Linked DNA regions of Rattus norvegicus. The protein of the gene in region 1 interacts with the protein of each later gene in a biochemical or structural test. Links are inferred from orthologs where the notes say so. Each region holds a gene or a part of one and is shown on either strand. Other genes may lie near its edges.

Region 1 (4,340 bases):
TGGTCTGCAGAGCCTCCCAGGCTGCCTGCAGCCCTTGTACATCCCCTGAATTGGGGGTGTAACCCTGCCCATAGGCTGCAATCCAGCCCACAGGTTCAGAGTTGGGTGAACCTGGGTCCCCATAGCGAGTAACTTGAGATGGTGGGTACTTGGCCAACCAGGCATCCAGCTCTGTGGCAGGTGTAGTACGGGCATCAAATACCAGCCAGGGGTCCATGTCAGCTGCCATGGCCTCTGCAGCCAGGTGCTCAGCAGTGAAGCCATCCTCACGACCACCTGGAGAGTCCTCCTCTTCCAGCTCTTCATTTGGTTCCATCCTGTTGTGAGGGAACTGAGTCAGAAGTTTGAGACAGTAAATAAAAAGTACTGGGTCCTAGAGGGTGCCAGGCACTGCTTTTAACTGTGGCCTTGGGCAAGTCTTAATGTCTGTGCCTCAGTTGCTTCATCTTCACAATGGGATAACAACTGATCCTGTCTAGATTTGTCTCTAGAATAAAATGCCTGAGGTGGAGTCGCTATTGTCAGTACTACTTTCACTGCTTAAAAACAAGGAAATTGAAACTCTGAGAAAAGGGGCTTGCCCAAGGTCATGTCTGTAAAGACCGTTAAAGCTTAAGTGTTAACTGGCACAGGACTCTGCTACACCACAGGACTAGAGTCTCGCAGGTAGCGCGGCGCTGCAATTTAATGGACGTAGGCAAAACGCAGGTTCGCCAATCTCAGAGGCTGGCTGGAGAGGGGCCAGGCCTCCCATGGTGAACTATTTGGGGCACACTTATCAACACCAAGACTCTGAGACCCAGAGAGGACAGCGGCCCATCTGGGGGTCAATGGGCAACATCCGGACTCGAACCTGATAGGACAGAGTCTGCGCGAGGACCAGGCTCCAGCCTTACCACACCCGCCGCCATTAGTGTTCACAGGTAAGGGTTGCCTCCACCCCCGGGCTGCCCTCTCGTCGCCCCACAGTCACCTCCGGCCTTCACTCCGCTCCGCGCCAACCCAACTTCGGGCCCGGCTCCGTTCCTGCCCGGGGTCTGCGCCGCCACCCCCGCCGCGCCCCGCCCCTGCCACGGCCGCCGCCGCCGCCGCCATCTTAGGGTCCCGCCACCTCAACAACAACTTTATAGACAAACACAGTCACGGGGCGGGGCCAGAGGCGGAACCAGAAGGCTAGGGGCGGGGGCTCCAGGGGAAGGGGCGGGCTGAGTTCAGGGGCGGAGCCAGCGCGAGAATCCCGGGAGGTGCAGGTCTTCAGGAGGCGGAGCTAACGTTCGTACTTTAGCTTGGAGGGCGGGTGGGCGTGGCGGGCGATCCCTGAGAAGGACGCGCACCGCCCTAGAGGATCCAAAGCCCAGCGCTTGGGTTTTGGGAGCTGCTTTTCTACGAACGGCACTAGGACCCTGCGAGAAGTGGTGTGGGCGGAGTAGGCGGCACCAGGACCGGGGGGAACCGCGGCCGGCTGGCGGCGAACAGGCCCGGGGCCTGGAGGCTGCGGGCGGCGGCGCTGGGCCCGGCGCAGCGTGAGAGGCCCCGAGATGCCAAGCAAGAAGAAGAAGTATAACGCGCGGTTTCCGCCGGTGAGCACGTGGCCGGGATGGGCCTCTGCAGGCTAGGTTCCTGGGAGGCTTGGGCCCAGGTCCTGCTGGTGGGGGGACGGGTGCTTTTAGGTGTTCATGGCCTGACGCCCCGCCCCTTCCATGCCCTCCTGGCTTAGTGCCCCCCGCCCTCTTCTCCTGGGATACCCCCCGGTTCACTCAGCTCCCCTGTAGAGACGCAGGAGACGAGCTCTGTCCCCTTCCCCTCGGCAGGCGCGGATCAAGAAGATCATGCAGACAGACGAAGAGATTGGGAAGGTGGCGGCAGCTGTGCCTGTCATCATCTGTATCCTACTAGGGGCTGGCTGGGCTGAGGGGCGTGGGGCGGGACTGCGGCACTCCCCTTTTTGGATTCTCCTTGACGTCCTCAGCCCGGGCACTTGAGCTCTTCCTGGAGTCTCTGTTGAAGAAGGCTTGCCAGGTGACCCAGTCTCGAAATGCCAAAACCATGACCACGTCCCACCTGTGAGTGGCCGCTAAGCTGGGCTTTTGAGGAGGCAGTGTTCTGACAGGGGGAGTGGTGCGCTGCTGAGGGAGGCCAGCTTTGTGGGTTTGGACTGATGTAGGAGAGATAAGGTGTTTCAGGTGGAGGGAACAACCAGAGCCAAGCCGCCCGCCCGGGAGGCCTGGTGGAAGTGGGGAGGGGTGTTCCACTGTACTGACACGAAAAGGTTGTTTCTATGATTCCGGAACATCAGTGTTTTGGGGGCCCTTTTTGAACACCTTCCTCTCCCACTTCTACAGGAAGCAGTGCATTGAGCTTGAACAGCAATTTGACTTCTTGAAAGACTTGGTGGCATCTGTGCCTGACATGCAGGGTGATGGGGAAGACAACCACACGGATGGGGACAAGGGTCCTCGAAGGTGGGTAACCAAAACCAGGTATATAAGTGGGAAAGGCCAAGGCCACAAGGGTTGGGGGTGGCTGGGGGGTGAAGAAGGGGAGAGAGTCCTCTGTGCAGATGGCCTGTACCTTCCCGAAGGGGCCGGAAACCAGGCAGCAGTGGCAGGAAGAATGGAGGCACAGGAAGCAAAAGCAAAGACAAAAAGCTGTCCGGGACAGACTCAGAACAGGAGGTGAGTGAGGCCGGTGGGGAAGGCCTGGTCTCATCCTTGTTACAGCCTTTGTATCTAACTCCATTGCCTTACCAGGGTTCTGGGCTCCCCAGAGAAGGGCCCAGACCTTCTCATTAACCTGACCCTTGCTGTGCTCACAGGATGAGTCTGAGGACACAGATACAGATGGGGAAGAAGAGACACCACAGGCCCCACCCCAAGCCAGTCACCCCCCTGCCCACTTTCAGAGGTGAGCACCCCAGGGATACCAGAAAGAGGCACAACAAACTCCCCAGAGCCAGTTAGTTTTACTTCCCTAGCCATTGGTGGTGGTGGTGGTGGTGGTGGTGGCGGCGGTGGCGGCGGCTGACTTTAGGGAATGGAGGGGAGAGAACACTATTAAACACAAGAGATTGTTCTGAGAAGGCCTTGCCTCCATGGTAGTGGGTCGGGGAGAGAGTCTGGAGAATGGTCTTTGCTGGGACCTTCCCTCCTAGGGGGGTTGTCTCCATGATGTAATGGGTGGCTTTGACTACACCTGCTTCTGTCTCTGGAGAATGGGGGTGGGCCTGTGGGTTGGGCACAGCACAGTTCCAAGCTCTGATTTTCTCCATTTTCTGTCCTGCAGCCCTCCAACTCCCTTCATGCCCTTCACCTCTCCTCTGCCTTTACCCCCAGCACCTCCCGGCCCCTCAGCACCTGAGGCAGAGGACGAAGAGGATTATGACTCCTAGCGCCCTTTAACCCTGGCCATATGCTCTTTTAGTTAGTATTAGTTGCTTTGGGGAGAAGAGAAAGATGGAACTGTTCTTAAATTTATTAAAAAAAAAAAAGGATTTTGGTTTCTTTTCATCCTGTGTCCAGGGCTTCGTGGCTGTATTGCCCATCCCCCCACCTCCCCACATGGGGGCAGCAGGAAGGAACATTGTTGGGGCAGCCAGTGATTGAGTTAAAACAGGGAGTCTGACAGGAGTCTGGGGCACTGAAGAAAGGAATGTGGTCTAGGGACTGAGTTGCCACATGCTAAGGGGTGACCTCTCATTGTGTGGGACCTTGGGCACCTTCTTCCCCTCTCTGGACTGCTGAGAAGGGACAGATGGAATCAGTACTGAGACGGGGCCTTGAAAAGTATAGTGTTGGGCTGGAGAGATGGCTCAGCGGTTAAGAGCACTGACTGCTCTTCCAGAGGTCCTGAGTTCAAATCCCAGCAACCACATGGTGGCTCGCAGCCATCTGTAATGGGATCCGATGCCCTCTTCTGGTGTGTCTGAAGACAGCTACAGTGTACTTATATATAATACATGAATAAATCTTTTTAAAAAAAAAAAAAGAAAAGTATAGTGTTCTGCAGCCAGTGCAGTGACGGGCTCGGCACAGTGAAGAGACGGGTACCTGAGATAGCAGAGGGTCTGCGAAGCATCTTTGGAGCCAAGCAGTCTGCCAACTGTATCTGAACAGCCTGGGCAACCTGTGTGCCAAAGGCAAGAGGTACACCTTCAGGGAGCAGCAGCCATGTGGGGTTCCCAAGTGTAAAAGCCCTAGAGGGGATGGTAAGTCATCTGTCAACAAGCTTACCAGCTTCTTCCTGATGGAGGCATTCAGAGACCCTTAGGGAATGTGCTAGGTGTGTGGGTGCGGACAATGGTGGCTGTAGTCTGGGGAGACTCAGGGTAGGCCTTAGGCTTG
Region 2 (4,280 bases), on another chromosome or scaffold:
CCTTAATATTTTACCTAAGTCTTAACACATCTCAACCAAAATTTACTTATTTCGAAGAAGAAATTTACTCCTTATAATCAAAGATTAAACTTAGTAGCACTGATAGTGAAGAATGTATGGTTCCCAGGAAGCATCTTGAAGAAAATGTTGAAGATAAAAATTACTCAAAGGCTGGTGTTCTAGGTCAGTGCTGAAGCTATGTCTAGTGAGGCAGGTAGGAGGGGACAATGATAGTCTCCTGGAAACCAAACATCTTAAATTATTGCCAACAGCCCAGCTGCCAATCTGTCTACAAAAAATTACGATAAACTAAACTGTACACGTTGGCTTAAGTGCCTTAGCCCTTTCAAAAGTTACAACGTCCCACTATTTATTAATGGGACCGTATGTGAAGTTTTTTGGTTTTGCCTGTGTTTGTGTTTGGAGACAGGTTTCTTCAGTGTTGCCCTGGCTGTCCTGGAACTTGACTTGCTTGCCTGAGCGTCTCATCTAAAGTGCTGGGATTAAAGCCATCTCCTGGCTGAGCTTTTTTTTTTTAATAATATAATTTCCCTGATGAATGTGGCACTAGTTATTAATAATCACCCGGAAAGAAGCAAGTATCAGACTCGCTTGAGATAAACCAATTTTTTTTTTTTTTTTTTTGGTCTTCTCTCCAAAAGCAAGTGTGCAGAGGGCCATAGCTCATGGTAGGCCAAACTCACAGCTTTGGATCAGACTACTAATTTCTGATTTAGCCGTTTGTGCTACGGAGGGTAGCCACTTATTTGAAAGCTTCGTTTGTTTTTTTTTTTTTTTTTTTTGTCATAAATGAGCACAGGGAGTTCCGATCTGAACGCTGTTAAGCAGTTACAAAGGCCTTTTTCCCCACACGCCGGGATATGCTCCTCTCACTCAGTGCCCTAATTCCGACAGCTAAGGACGTAGGAAAAGGAAGTTCTTCGGTAAAGACCAGGGCTGCTCCGCCACGTGGCCCTCCGATGGCCCTTCGGCCCACACATCCCTCCACAGAGCAGGCGAGCTCCCCTAGGGCCTGATTGAGGAAACGCGGGGACGCAGAGCGCGGGCAGCGACGGGCGGAAGCTGCGGGCTGCCAGCACCGGCGGTTCCCGCCCGCCCGGGCGGGGTGAAGGGCGGGGCGAGCACTCGGAAATCCGTCGAGGAGGGCGGGTGGGACCCCGGGAGTGAGACTTCCGGTGGCGCAAAGCGTGTCGGGATCAGCTTGCGGCAAACCTCCTTCCCCGGCCCGTAGAAAGACCACCGTTAGCGCCGCTTCTGCTCCCACAGCCTGCTCTCGGCCAAACGCTCGGTCGCGGCGACTGCCGCTGCGGCTCCCGCTGTTTTCGGCCCTGTCCACTTGGTTCCCAGGCAGCCAGCGTGCGTTCAGCTGCGGCTTCGGCAGACATGTTGTGAGGCGGCGGCGCGGGTGCCTGAAGGATGGTTTGGCCGAGGCGGCTGCAACCGCTGCTAGTGGCGGTGGCCGCGGGGGCTCCGGCTCTGTAGAGCCGACCCTGCTGTGGTGCGTCCGCCCGGTACTGCGGCCGGGCGGGTACTCCTCGGTCTTGCGTGCGCCCCCGAGCCGTTTAGGTTCGGTTAGGCGACAGCGCCAGTCCGTTTGAGGCGACACGCAAGGTGGTTCTTGAGCCCTGGGAGTGGTGTCCCCAGAGCGAGCCCTCAGCCCCCTGACCTCTCCTTCATATCCGCACTAAAATCTCTCACACAGTGGGTGTTCCCTGCCCTCGAGCCCGCTCCTTCCTGGTTTCTGCTGCACTCTGAGCCTCCCGGACCCCGACATCTCTCTCCAGGGACAGCCTGTTGAGAAATCTTCGTGGAGTGGTGGACTAGAGGGAGGACTTTAAAAGTTAGGGCTTGAAAGACAGGAAGGCACGATGGCTTCCTCGTCTGGCAACGACGATGATCTCACTATCCCGAGAGCTGCTATAAATAAGATGATCAAAGAGACTCTCCCTAATGTCAGGGTGGCCAACGATGCCCGAGAGCTCGTAGTGAACTGCTGCACTGAATTCATTCACCTTATATCTTCCGAAGCCAACGAGATTTGTAACAAGTCAGAAAAGAAGACAATCTCACCAGAGCATGTCATCCAAGGTAAGCAATTTGTGTGGGATTTAATTTAAATGAAGGTCCAGGCTAATAGAGTCACTCCTAGTGTCACGGAGCCTTCATTCCACTTCACTAGTAAGTGCAGTTACCTTAAAATACCTATGTAGCATTCTTCGGACATTTTCTTCATCCAGCTAATGCAAGTAAGAAGTACAAACATTAGGGTCAGCAAACATCCACAACATTTAACCAGTACAGTTTCCGATCAGGTCTTTAAGCAACAAGAATTGACTGCCTACAGCTAAACTTGGATAGTAACAACTGAGAAAGGAACCTCAAAGTTCTCTCTTGGGAAGTTAAATTTTAGAATTTCAAGCACGAGTCGAGTCAGAGAGTATATCTCTTCCCCACCTGTGCTGAGGAAAAGATTCATTTTGAACACAGGGGTAGAAAAAGTTCTTTGGCTGTGAACGGAGGTCAGTGGTATATCATCTACCTAGCATGCACAAGGGCCCTAGGTCCGAGTTTAAAAAAAAAAGTTATCAACATGAGTATGTTCATTGTTGTAAAGTTAATTTCTTTCCAAAAAGTATAATTTTTGCTTTACAAAACGCTGAGGTGGTGGAACAGTTATCACCAGGTAACCGAGTGCCACATTTTTTCCTTTTTGACTTCCTCCAACTATTGATTGTTCTTTGAAAATTATTTGTAAAGGGTGGCTGGGGCAGGGCGGGGACGACAGTACTCGGGCTTGAACCTAGGGCCTGACACATGCTAGTCAGCATTCTGTTGCTGAGCTGCCCAGCCTGTCCTCTGTCCTGCTGCTCCAATTTGGATGTGTCTATGCGTTTAAGCTTTTATGGAAAAACGCTTCTAAAGGTTCCCACAGTTTCTTTCTTACGCTGGAAAGGATTTGGAGTTGGGATTTTGTTTTGATGATTACAGGGAAAGGAGACGAAAGTTGCTTTTGGCAAATTTTGGGAAATACTTTCTGTGGCTTTTCATGAACTCTTATGAGAAAGTTGCATTCAGTTTGGTAAATCACTTCTATTATAAATCTATTGAAAATGAGGACAACTTCTTGATTACTTTTAAGGTTAAAAGGAACAAATTTAATCATATTAGGCAGGTAGTTCGTTGCCATTTTATACATTTAAAAATTTTACTTTCCTGTTGATAGAGAACATATCTGATCATATGGAACATAACCATTTTGCAGTCAGTATTGACAAGAAGGTCACGTGTTTAATTTTTGAGCCTTTATCCTGTGCTGATGGTAGATTTAAAGCACACCTTGCTGTGATGAGGGGGGTCTCAAGGCTGAGTACTTAGCATGGCAGAGGTCAATCCCAGTAGGTAGTAAGAGTCGTGATGATTGATAGATGTGTGTGTGTGTATAATCATATCACATGCACATATACTCTGCCATTTCAGCACATAGCAGATAACTAAGAAAAAAGCAATGTTTTTACTTTAGGTTAGGAAAGGCAAGATGCTAACAGGTTCACACTCTTGTTACCTAGCCTGGCCTTAAACTTAGAGCCTCTTCGTGCAGTCTCTTGGTCCTGGGATCATGGACATGTAACTACCATTCCTGCTGCTTATTTGATTCTTTGGTGTGTACATGCTGAATGAACTTGGGGCCTTGTGTGTGCTGGGCAAGCAATGTCCTGCAGAGCTATCTTTCCAGCTGACATACTTGATTCTTAAAACTAGTATTTTTTTTTCCTACTTGTTTGGTTTGCTGAGTGGTAAGAAAAATGGAAACCAAGTGTTTTGGGGTTTTTTGGTCTTTTTTTTTTTTTTTTTAGTTTTTTTTTTAGTTTTTAAGTCTCTTAGAAGATATTTAACAAGTAGCTAACATTTCCTTTGACTTTTTGTGAAGGAATGGAAGAACCACCTTTTGTCAAGCATCAACTTTTTAATGAAACTGCAGATTTCTGTAGGACCTGCCTAAACACTTGTTTGTACCACAGAAGTGGTGATTGTTCCAAAAATCTAATAACACAATCTGTCTTGTGGGAGGCTCATTCTTTTCTAGGGTATATTTAGAGTTCCGATCGACATGATGATTGAAGTGCAGCTGTAGAAAGCCGTGTACTGGGGCTGGGGATTTAGCTCAGTGGTAGAGCGCTTACCTAGGAAGCGCAAGGCCCTGGGTTCGGTCCCCAGCTCCGAAAAAAAGAACCAAAAAAAAAAAAAAAAAAAAGAAAGCC

The links.
Region 2: the proteins of Drap1 (region 1) and Dr1 form a complex in vitro, tested with the Homo sapiens proteins (2 studies listed by BioGRID). The link is inferred for Rattus norvegicus from reciprocal best matches to the Homo sapiens genes DRAP1 and DR1.

Annotation. Positions count from the first base shown.
Region 1 is NC_086019.1:212,160,756-212,165,095, reverse strand, and holds Drap1 (dr1-associated corepressor), read left to right. Parts: upstream 1-1,333; 5' UTR 1,334-1,538; coding exon 1,539-1,580; intron 1,581-1,811; coding exon 1,812-1,884; intron 1,885-1,969; coding exon 1,970-2,063; intron 2,064-2,342; coding exon 2,343-2,462; intron 2,463-2,560; coding exon of another isoform or gene 2,561-2,581; coding exon 2,582-2,675; intron 2,676-2,815; coding exon 2,816-2,904; intron 2,905-3,282; coding exon 3,283-3,388; 3' UTR 3,389-3,984; downstream 3,985-4,340. Other genes in the region: Bles03 (UPF0696 protein C11orf68 homolog), read right to left, coding at 1-317, 974-1,095. UniProt on the Homo sapiens protein: The association of the DR1/DRAP1 heterodimer with TBP results in a functional repression of both activated and basal transcription of class II genes.
Region 2 is NC_086032.1:1,611,545-1,615,824, reverse strand, and holds the start of Dr1 (protein Dr1), read left to right. Parts: upstream 1-1,268; 5' UTR 1,269-1,889; coding exon 1,890-2,109; intron 2,110-4,280. UniProt on the Homo sapiens protein: The association of the DR1/DRAP1 heterodimer with TBP results in a functional repression of both activated and basal transcription of class II genes.